2 linked regions of the Rattus norvegicus genome follow. The protein of the gene in region 1 interacts with the protein of each later gene in a pairwise test. Links are inferred from orthologs where the notes say so. Each region holds a gene or a part of one and is shown on either strand. Other genes may lie near its edges.

Region 1 (3,641 bases):
AAACTTGAAAATCAGACTGCAGAGTCAGTACCACACCACTGGAGCTAGGAAAGGATAAAATAACTCACCTTTTTTCACAAAGGAAAAGAATAATCAGCATTAATTAGTCATATTCCCAATGTCCTAATGGAATGAAAGTGGGAGGGAGAGCTGTCCAGTCTTTTCTGTGATTTAAAATAAAACATACTTCAAACAGTGGCATACAATCCTCTGCTCTAAAATACAGACCGGAACAGGAAACTACCTTTGGAGTTTATCCATCTTAGGGCCACAGGGTGAGGGTGTAGCTCAGGGTAGAGCATCTGCCAAGTGCTAGGCCCTACATTCAGTCCTCAGCTCCAGGGAAACAAAAAACAAAAACAAAAACCTAGAGCTAAAGTAAACACATTAAAATGTTTTTTAATTTGCCAGATAATCTTTTAATGAGAATTATAAAAGACCAAAAACATTTTTTTGCAAACTGCCTTTTTTTAAAAACAAATGATTTACTTTAATTACAAATACTGTGTATGATGATGCACTCTTTTGCAAAACCAATAAATACAAGAACCAATTTAAACATGTGATTTGCCCAAGACATTTGAAGAGAGGAAAAGCCTGATTATTTTATAATTTATAGTGATCAGAGTTTACTCCCTAAGCTAACCTTTCAGAGAGTAAGCCTGACCTGACGGCGTAGGACAGCAGTCGGGAGGCGAGACCATCCTGTACTTGCTTCAGCCTCGACGAGCTGCTCTGCTCCCTTTCCTTTCTGGAATTCCTATTTCCACAGAAGGGCTGAATTAAAAATGTCTAATAAATTGATTGAAGGAAAAGAAAGTATGTACTGAACACAAACTTCTGACATTAAGCAATTATGGATATCAAAAAGACGCTAACTTAAAAGGTACAAAAGTGAGAAAAACCTGAATTACAGAAAAGAAAGTCAAATTTATTTAATGAAAAACTAGAATAAAAATTAGCAAATACACACACACCAAAAAACAAAACAAAAAACAAAACAAAAAACAACCCCACAGCAGCACTGTGTGTTGACTCACAAGGGGAAAGCGGTGGCCCATGACCACGCAGATGGCTTGTCAGTTAAAGGAAAACCAACCACACACGTGCACGCATGCGTGCACAGACACACACCCCCAAAAAATTGTCAACAATACAATCAATCTACAACAAACACAAAGTTCAGAAATATTTTACAATGTTTCCTTTCTTAATACAAAAGATGCCCATCTTGGGTATATATATTTTTCAGTGGTTTACTGTTGAATTATTTTTAAATATATTAGTGTTACTACATGCAACTGTTTCCTGTATTAACAGCTTTTCTTTTTATTTACCTTCATGTCTAGCTTCTACCTACCAGGAGAGGTTTAGGTTGGCAAGCAGATGGGTGCCTTATTCTCTGTGAAGTCAAATGCAAATTTTAAACACTGGCCAGAAATATTTGATTGCCGTTTCAACACATGGAAATAGTTACATTGATGCCTAAATTGCCATTTTCTGCAAAGAGCTGTGCAATGCTGGTGTCAAACACTAGGCAGTCACTATTCATGATGGCTGTTGCAATTCCCTCATGAATAGACCGAGGGGTGGCTTCCCAAGTCAATCGCCGCCTATGACCATTCAGCTCAAGTCGATATGCAAAATTTTCAGCTTGCTTGCGTGTTCCTATCAGCTGTACAATCGCAAAGAACTGCTGATGGCCATCGTATTTTTCTTGTTTCTCCAAGACTAACATGAAATGAAAGCCAAAACAAGACTGCATCATCACCCAGTCAACAGCACCAGGAAGGTTAATGTCTGTAGCAAGGAAAACTATATCTTCTCCTTGCAGGGTGGTAATGGACTTGTGCTGATGCATCAGGTGGGGCATGACAGCATCCAAGGAGCCTTGCCACTTACAGGAAGCACCAGGGCAGGGGCAGGAGTAAGGCCTGAACTCACAGAGCTCCTCGTGCTCTGCCTTTTCGGTGTGCGGCAGAGTTATCTCACATCCAGAAGAGGCATATTTACAAGGGAAGAGTACGGAGTTGGCCACTTTCTCCATAGCCAAGTTGCGAATGGATCCCAACGGGCCCCGGCAGGTGGGACAACATGTAAGTTTGGGGCGACAGTTGCTACAAACAAGATGGCCACTCTGACACTGAAGAATAGGTGGCAATACATAGTCAAAGCAGACAGGACACTCGAAAAGACTCGCCAAGTCATTGTTGGATGCAGTTGTGCCAGTCAAGGCAGGTACCCTCTGGGATGGTGGACACTTTGAGGTGCCGGTGGGTAATGCTGTAGCAGTCTGACGGCTCATCTCTGTAAAGGAAAACAAGAAAATAAAAGGAAGCAGGGGGAAAGTTACAAATATAACACATTAGTAGATATGTATGTATACATGTCATAAATACTTGTAAAGCATACCACAAAATTTATCGTGAATAAAAGAATAAAATTAAGTAAATATAGTTTTAAATCCATATACAAATAAAATAAAAATTGAACGCTAAAGGTTAATTTTCTGGAGTTATATAATGAGTAAACTGTATTTCCAAAATGTTCTCCAGCATGTTTAAAATACTTTTTTGTTCTTAAAGCAGTGGAAATCTCTGGGTGGACTACACAGAATAAGAATCGCACCAGGCATTGTGGCCACACCTTTAACCCTTGCACTGCAGACACACATACAGGTGGGGATCAGGGAGTTCGAGGTCAGCCTGGTCTGCATACATAGTTTCAGGCCAAGCAGGACTACATATGAAGACCTAATTTCAAAAAAGTTCCTAAACAATAAAGAACTACAAAACTGTCTTTGTCTTAAGAACTTAAATACAGCTGGGCAAGATGGCACAAGCCTTTAACTCCCAACATTTAGGAGGCAGAAGAAAAGGAAAGAAGGAAGAAGAAAAAAAAGGAAGGAGGAAGGAGGAGGAGGAAAGGATGAGGAAGAGGAGGAAGAGGAGGAAGAGGAGGGGAAGAGGAGGAATATAAATTAAATACAGGGCTGGAGACTGGAGAGATGGCCTAGCAGTTAAAAACACTGGTTGGTCTTCCGGAGGACCAGTGTTCAAATCCCACCACCCAAATGGCTGCTCATTAGAGGCAGCCAGGGCACTCAAACATATTATGAGCAGATAGACATGCAGGCAAAGCACCCATTCACATAAAATAAAAACAAATCTTTTTTAAAAGAAGAAAACCTTAAATTACAATATAAACTTTATTTGGGCTGGACTTTTTTCCCGAGTCTCCACCTCCATCTATTTTTTCTCAAGTCTGAGTTTGCTCATAGCTTCAGGACCTACTGCTTTAGTCCTATGAAGTTCATATGCCAAAGACCATTAGAGCCGGGTCAACTCTTCCCAGCATGAACAGCATCATCACTAGAACTGTGCTCTGGGAATGGGCTCAGAGGTCACAGGGGAAGGAAACCCTGCCATCCTGTTATCTGCCTGCAGACGTCTACTCAGTCTTTTATTAAGGCAGCCAGGTATCACTTCTGTCTCCCATCAGTCAGTGCGTTCATCTGAAGACTGAAGGAATATAAGAAGTGGAGAAAACCACAGAAGATCAAACGCTGGGTGGGGCTGAACAAAGAGCTCCCTGAACCTGTGGGTTCCCTCTTGTGGCTACAGCTTTCACTGTAACTAACC
Region 2 (4,246 bases), on another chromosome or scaffold:
AAAAAAGCTAATTACTTGGGACACCAAATAATTAGCTTTTTATGAAAAAAGCTAATTACTTGGAATAACAAATAATTAGCTTTTTATGAAAAAAGCTAATTATTTGGAATATAACTTAGTTGATTCACATTATAATTACAGCTTACATTACTGAAGTTCAAAAACATACTTTTTTAAAAAGAAACTTTTAATTGTGTTTTCAAAAGGGGCAGCAACTCAACTCAGGACAGCAAAGCACCATAGGAAAAAGGCACAAAAATCCAAAAAAGCCTGAAGGCCAGCAGCAAGACAATAATTTATTCGGACTTCAACACACAATTAATTAATCCTTACTATGCGCCAAGCACACCTTTACAAGCAGGCCAGGCAGGCCCAATCACCTAGAATTTTTAAGAAACAAAAACAACAACAAACCTGTTCTACGCTAATAAACATCTCTCCCAGAAGCCAAGCTATAACACCAAAGCCACTGAAAACTCCTAAGAAACACAGTGCTCGTCACCTCTGTCTTTGTAGTTACCAAAGCATTTAATTTCAGGAAGTCCAATGGTGTCTTGATAAAATAATTAAATTTGAAAATATTAAATTTAATTTTTAATTTAAAATAAAATTAAAATTAATTGCCTTCATTGCTTTAAGGCATCAGCTACGTCTTCTTACTAGTTCCCATATCCCACTATCAGGAGTTTTAATTGTGGGATCTTTTTATTTAATAATGCAATGCACTTATTAAAAGTGCATTTGCTTGCCAGGTATACTTATTATTGTGACTGTTAATTATTCTTATTATTCTTATATTTACTAGACACCTGTGGACAAAAAGTAAAACCGCGCAACAGAGAAACCGCAGGGAGGCGGGGCTGTGCAGCCAGGCTCAGACAGGGCAGAGGCGCACTTGCGCAGTGGAGGCATACCTGAAGGGAGGGGCTGCGGCCCACAGTGCGCAGGCGCAGGCAGGCTGAGGGAAGGCGGGGCTCTAGGCCTCCTCAGAGGAGGAGCTATGGGAGGAGCTGGACATTAAGAGAGGCGGGACCTGGGCCGGCCTCCTAGGAGGAGGCGGGCTAAGGGAAAGGCGGGGCCTTGTCAGGCCGCCTCAGAGGAGGCGGGCCTTGAGGGCGGGGGCTAAGTAGGCTGTCCCAAAGGCATCAGCACTCGGGAGGTGGGGCCTGTGGAAGCATGTTCTGGAAAGGCGCGCGACAGGCGACGCGCGCAGACGAGGCGCGCAACCTCTCTGCAGATGAGACAAGGCTAGGATGGGCGGGGCAGGTCTGAGACTGGCTGCTACAGGGCTGCAGAATGTCTGCATGCCTCCCCCCGCCCCCCTACCTCCCCGACCCCTCCCAACCACCAAATTCCTTCCGTAGAGCAAGAGCAAACCCCCACCTCCCATCTCGGCTTCGGACCCACCCAGCAAACCGGACTGTCTCCACAAACTGTTGCTGGACACCAATTCGTGCCCCCGAGTCTATTGCACCGTCACCTCAATCAATCACCACTAGACAAGGCAGCCCATTCTGCCATCTCCAAAATCCAGCACCCCTCCACTCTACTGCCGTAAGCAGGAGTCCCGTGGGCAGAATGTTAAACACCAATTTTTGGCCTCTCAGGGCTCCATTTTGTCTACCACCACCACCATCATGCAGATGGACGTCTGACCAGAAAACGCAACGCGTTTTGATCCGAAAGGTAAACCTGTGTCGCCTCTTCCCCGAGGAGAGAGTTGTACTCTCTCGTCTTTCCAACGCTACACTACTTTCCGCGTAGCTCGAGTCTGCACGTCTTTTGCCTCTGCCGCAGTTTGTAGCGCATTTCTAAGCCCACTCTTGTTGCGCTTTTGCATTTTGTGACTCTCCTGCAGCTCGGAATTGAGTGCGTGAAGCAAGGAGTCGGTTTGTGTATCTCTGGAGTTCGGGCTGGTTTGTGGCGCATGAAGCGCCGGTTCGCCCGTTCGCCCGTTCGCCAGTTCGCTCGTTCGTACAGCGAAGCGCATGAAGCGCCCATTAGTACACTGAAGGCATGAAGCGCCCATTAGTACATCGAAGCGCATTAAGCACTCATTAGTACATCGAAGCGCATGGCGCCCATTAGTACATCGCAGCGCGTTAAGCGCCTATTAGACGATCGAAGCGTAAGAAGCGCCCATCAGTTCGTGCCGCATGGAGCGCCTATTAGTATTTCGTAGCGCATGAAGCGCCTATTAGTATTTCGTAGCGCGTAAAGCGCCTATTAGTATTTTGTAGCGCATGAAGCGCCCGTTAGTTCAGCACAGCGCAAGAAGCAGCCGTCTGCAGCGCAACTAAAGCGCTTATCCGTTTGTAGCGCGGCATTCAAGCGCCAAAGAGTAGCGGAGTAGCCAGCCACTTTGCAGCGCATTTGAGGAGCTCATCGCAATTCGGTCCGTAGCTCATGTGCGTCTGCAGCTCATCGCTGTCCGCAGCTCATGCGTCTACTGACCAATGCTGGACGCGAGTCATGGAAACCGAAGTCCCGGACCCAAAGCCGTGAAGACTTGCTTTCCATGCTCTCGTCTCAGGATGCGGCCACTGAAGGCAGGCGTGACAAAATTCGCGAGGAGATATTCTGGGGGCGCTACTTTATCTCCCGCAGCTCCTGGGAAGAAAAATCGGGGATTGCGTGTGATCATTTTCGGGTAAAAAAAAAAAAAATCCTCACCGCATACTCACCACACGAGGATCCTCTGCGATGACACGAAGGATGAGGGGTCCGGCGACGGCCGGGCCCACTGGGTGACCGCGGTCCGGAGAAGGCTCCGGACCGCAGCCCACTCAGCGGACCTTGGCGAAGCTTGGTGGACCTTCTCGGTTGGTGGCTCTCCTCAGGTCGTAGTTGGTCAGGATTCTTCGACACACACCAACTGAAGTTGGAAACGCGTGTACCGAGAGCCCGGACTGCTTGCCTTATATAGAGAGATCCTAGGAGGGGGGCGCCAAATCCCAGCGTGCTTCGCGAGCTGGCGGGGGCGGAGGGGGGGCGCGTGGGCGGGCGCCTGGGGGGATGGGTGGGGGCGCGGCATGCACCGCTTTGGCCCGCCGCTAGGGGCAGTATGGGCTCAGGAAGGGGGGTGCACGATGCTGAACTGGCCAAGCTGGGAGGAAAGAAGAAAGGGAGGGGAGGGGAGGATCGAGGACGGACGGCTTAGGCAGGCCAAGAATGCTATTATTCTGGTGGTGGGAGCTGGGAGACCCTTGTGCTTGGACGGGAAAGGGTCGGGGGACACTCAAGATGAGCCCCGCGACCACTGGCACATTCTTACTGACAGGTTAGTGGCCTGCGCGCGACATGGAGGTTCAGGGGCCCACAGGCCGCCGCCTCACCCTCCCCCACTCGGGTTCTGGGGTACCAGGGCGTGCCCGAAGGGTGCTAGTCCTGCTCTATGCCCAATGCGCCCCCCCAGCACCCCTCTTTCAGGACACCCTTCAGCCCACCTCCTGGGCCAAGTGGGTCCCTCCCCAGGCTTGACCCCTGGCCTTCTCTTTCTGCACCCCCACGGCCCCTCCCTGTCCAGCAGGGCAGGAATTCAGCTCCAGTTTCCATTAAGGAGTGTACCCCACCTCGCCCCCCCACAGCCTGGTGGTGGACATCTTCTGATCTCTGGAACAGACTTGGGGGTCGCTGCCCCTCGGGGTGGGGGTGGGGGTGGGGGGGTGGGGGCTTTACCCCACAATTGAGACTCTCTGGCCTAGATGTGAGGCAAAGGGCATGGCTGGCCAGCTGCTTATCTCTTACACAAAGATGTACGTCTTTTCTCATTTTCTGGAATCTGGTGGAGAGAAAGACCACCAAAATGTGACATTTAAAAGACCGAATCTCGCCCCCACCCCCACCCCGCTCCCTGCCTTTTTTTAAAGCGTATTTCCTGGTGGCGCGAACCTGATTTTTCTTAGGTTTTTACCGAACACGGAAGCAGGATCATGAAATTCTGGGAGCCAAACGGCGGTGTTCAGGTCAGGGTCAACCATGGCTGGGGGCCGGAGATGCTGCAAAAAGCACCCATTGCCCTACTAAATATGTTACGAAGGGAAATCAAGAACAATTGAAAACAGCTGTAGATGCTTCCAATGTTCTTGGCCGGCTTTGGAAGCTTTCAGCTACGGACTTTGTGAGGTGATTACAAGGTTTACACAGAGACCTCGGCTTCCCCCCCACCCCCGCGCCGTTATGTGTTTCTAAATCTTGTGGGTGAATGAATGTTTTGGGGCGCAGTAACTGTGGGTTCAAACCCTTG

What was found. The genes of interacting proteins can lie anywhere in the genome.
Region 2: the proteins of Siah1 (region 1) and Peg10 interact in binary tests that used the Homo sapiens proteins (3 or more experiments, as listed by UniProt). The link is inferred for Rattus norvegicus from reciprocal best matches to the Homo sapiens genes SIAH1 and PEG10.

What each region holds. Positions count from the first base shown.
Region 1 is NC_086037.1:36,572,528-36,576,168, reverse strand, and holds the end of Siah1 (E3 ubiquitin-protein ligase SIAH1), read right to left. Parts: intron 2,308-3,641; 5' UTR 2,306-2,307; coding exon 1,457-2,305; 3' UTR 396-1,456; downstream 1-395. UniProt on the Homo sapiens protein: E3 ubiquitin-protein ligase that mediates ubiquitination and subsequent proteasomal degradation of target proteins.
Region 2 is NC_086022.1:33,807,672-33,811,917, reverse strand, and holds the start of Peg10 (retrotransposon-derived protein PEG10), read right to left. Parts: upstream 2,893-4,246; 5' UTR 2,685-2,892; intron 1-2,684.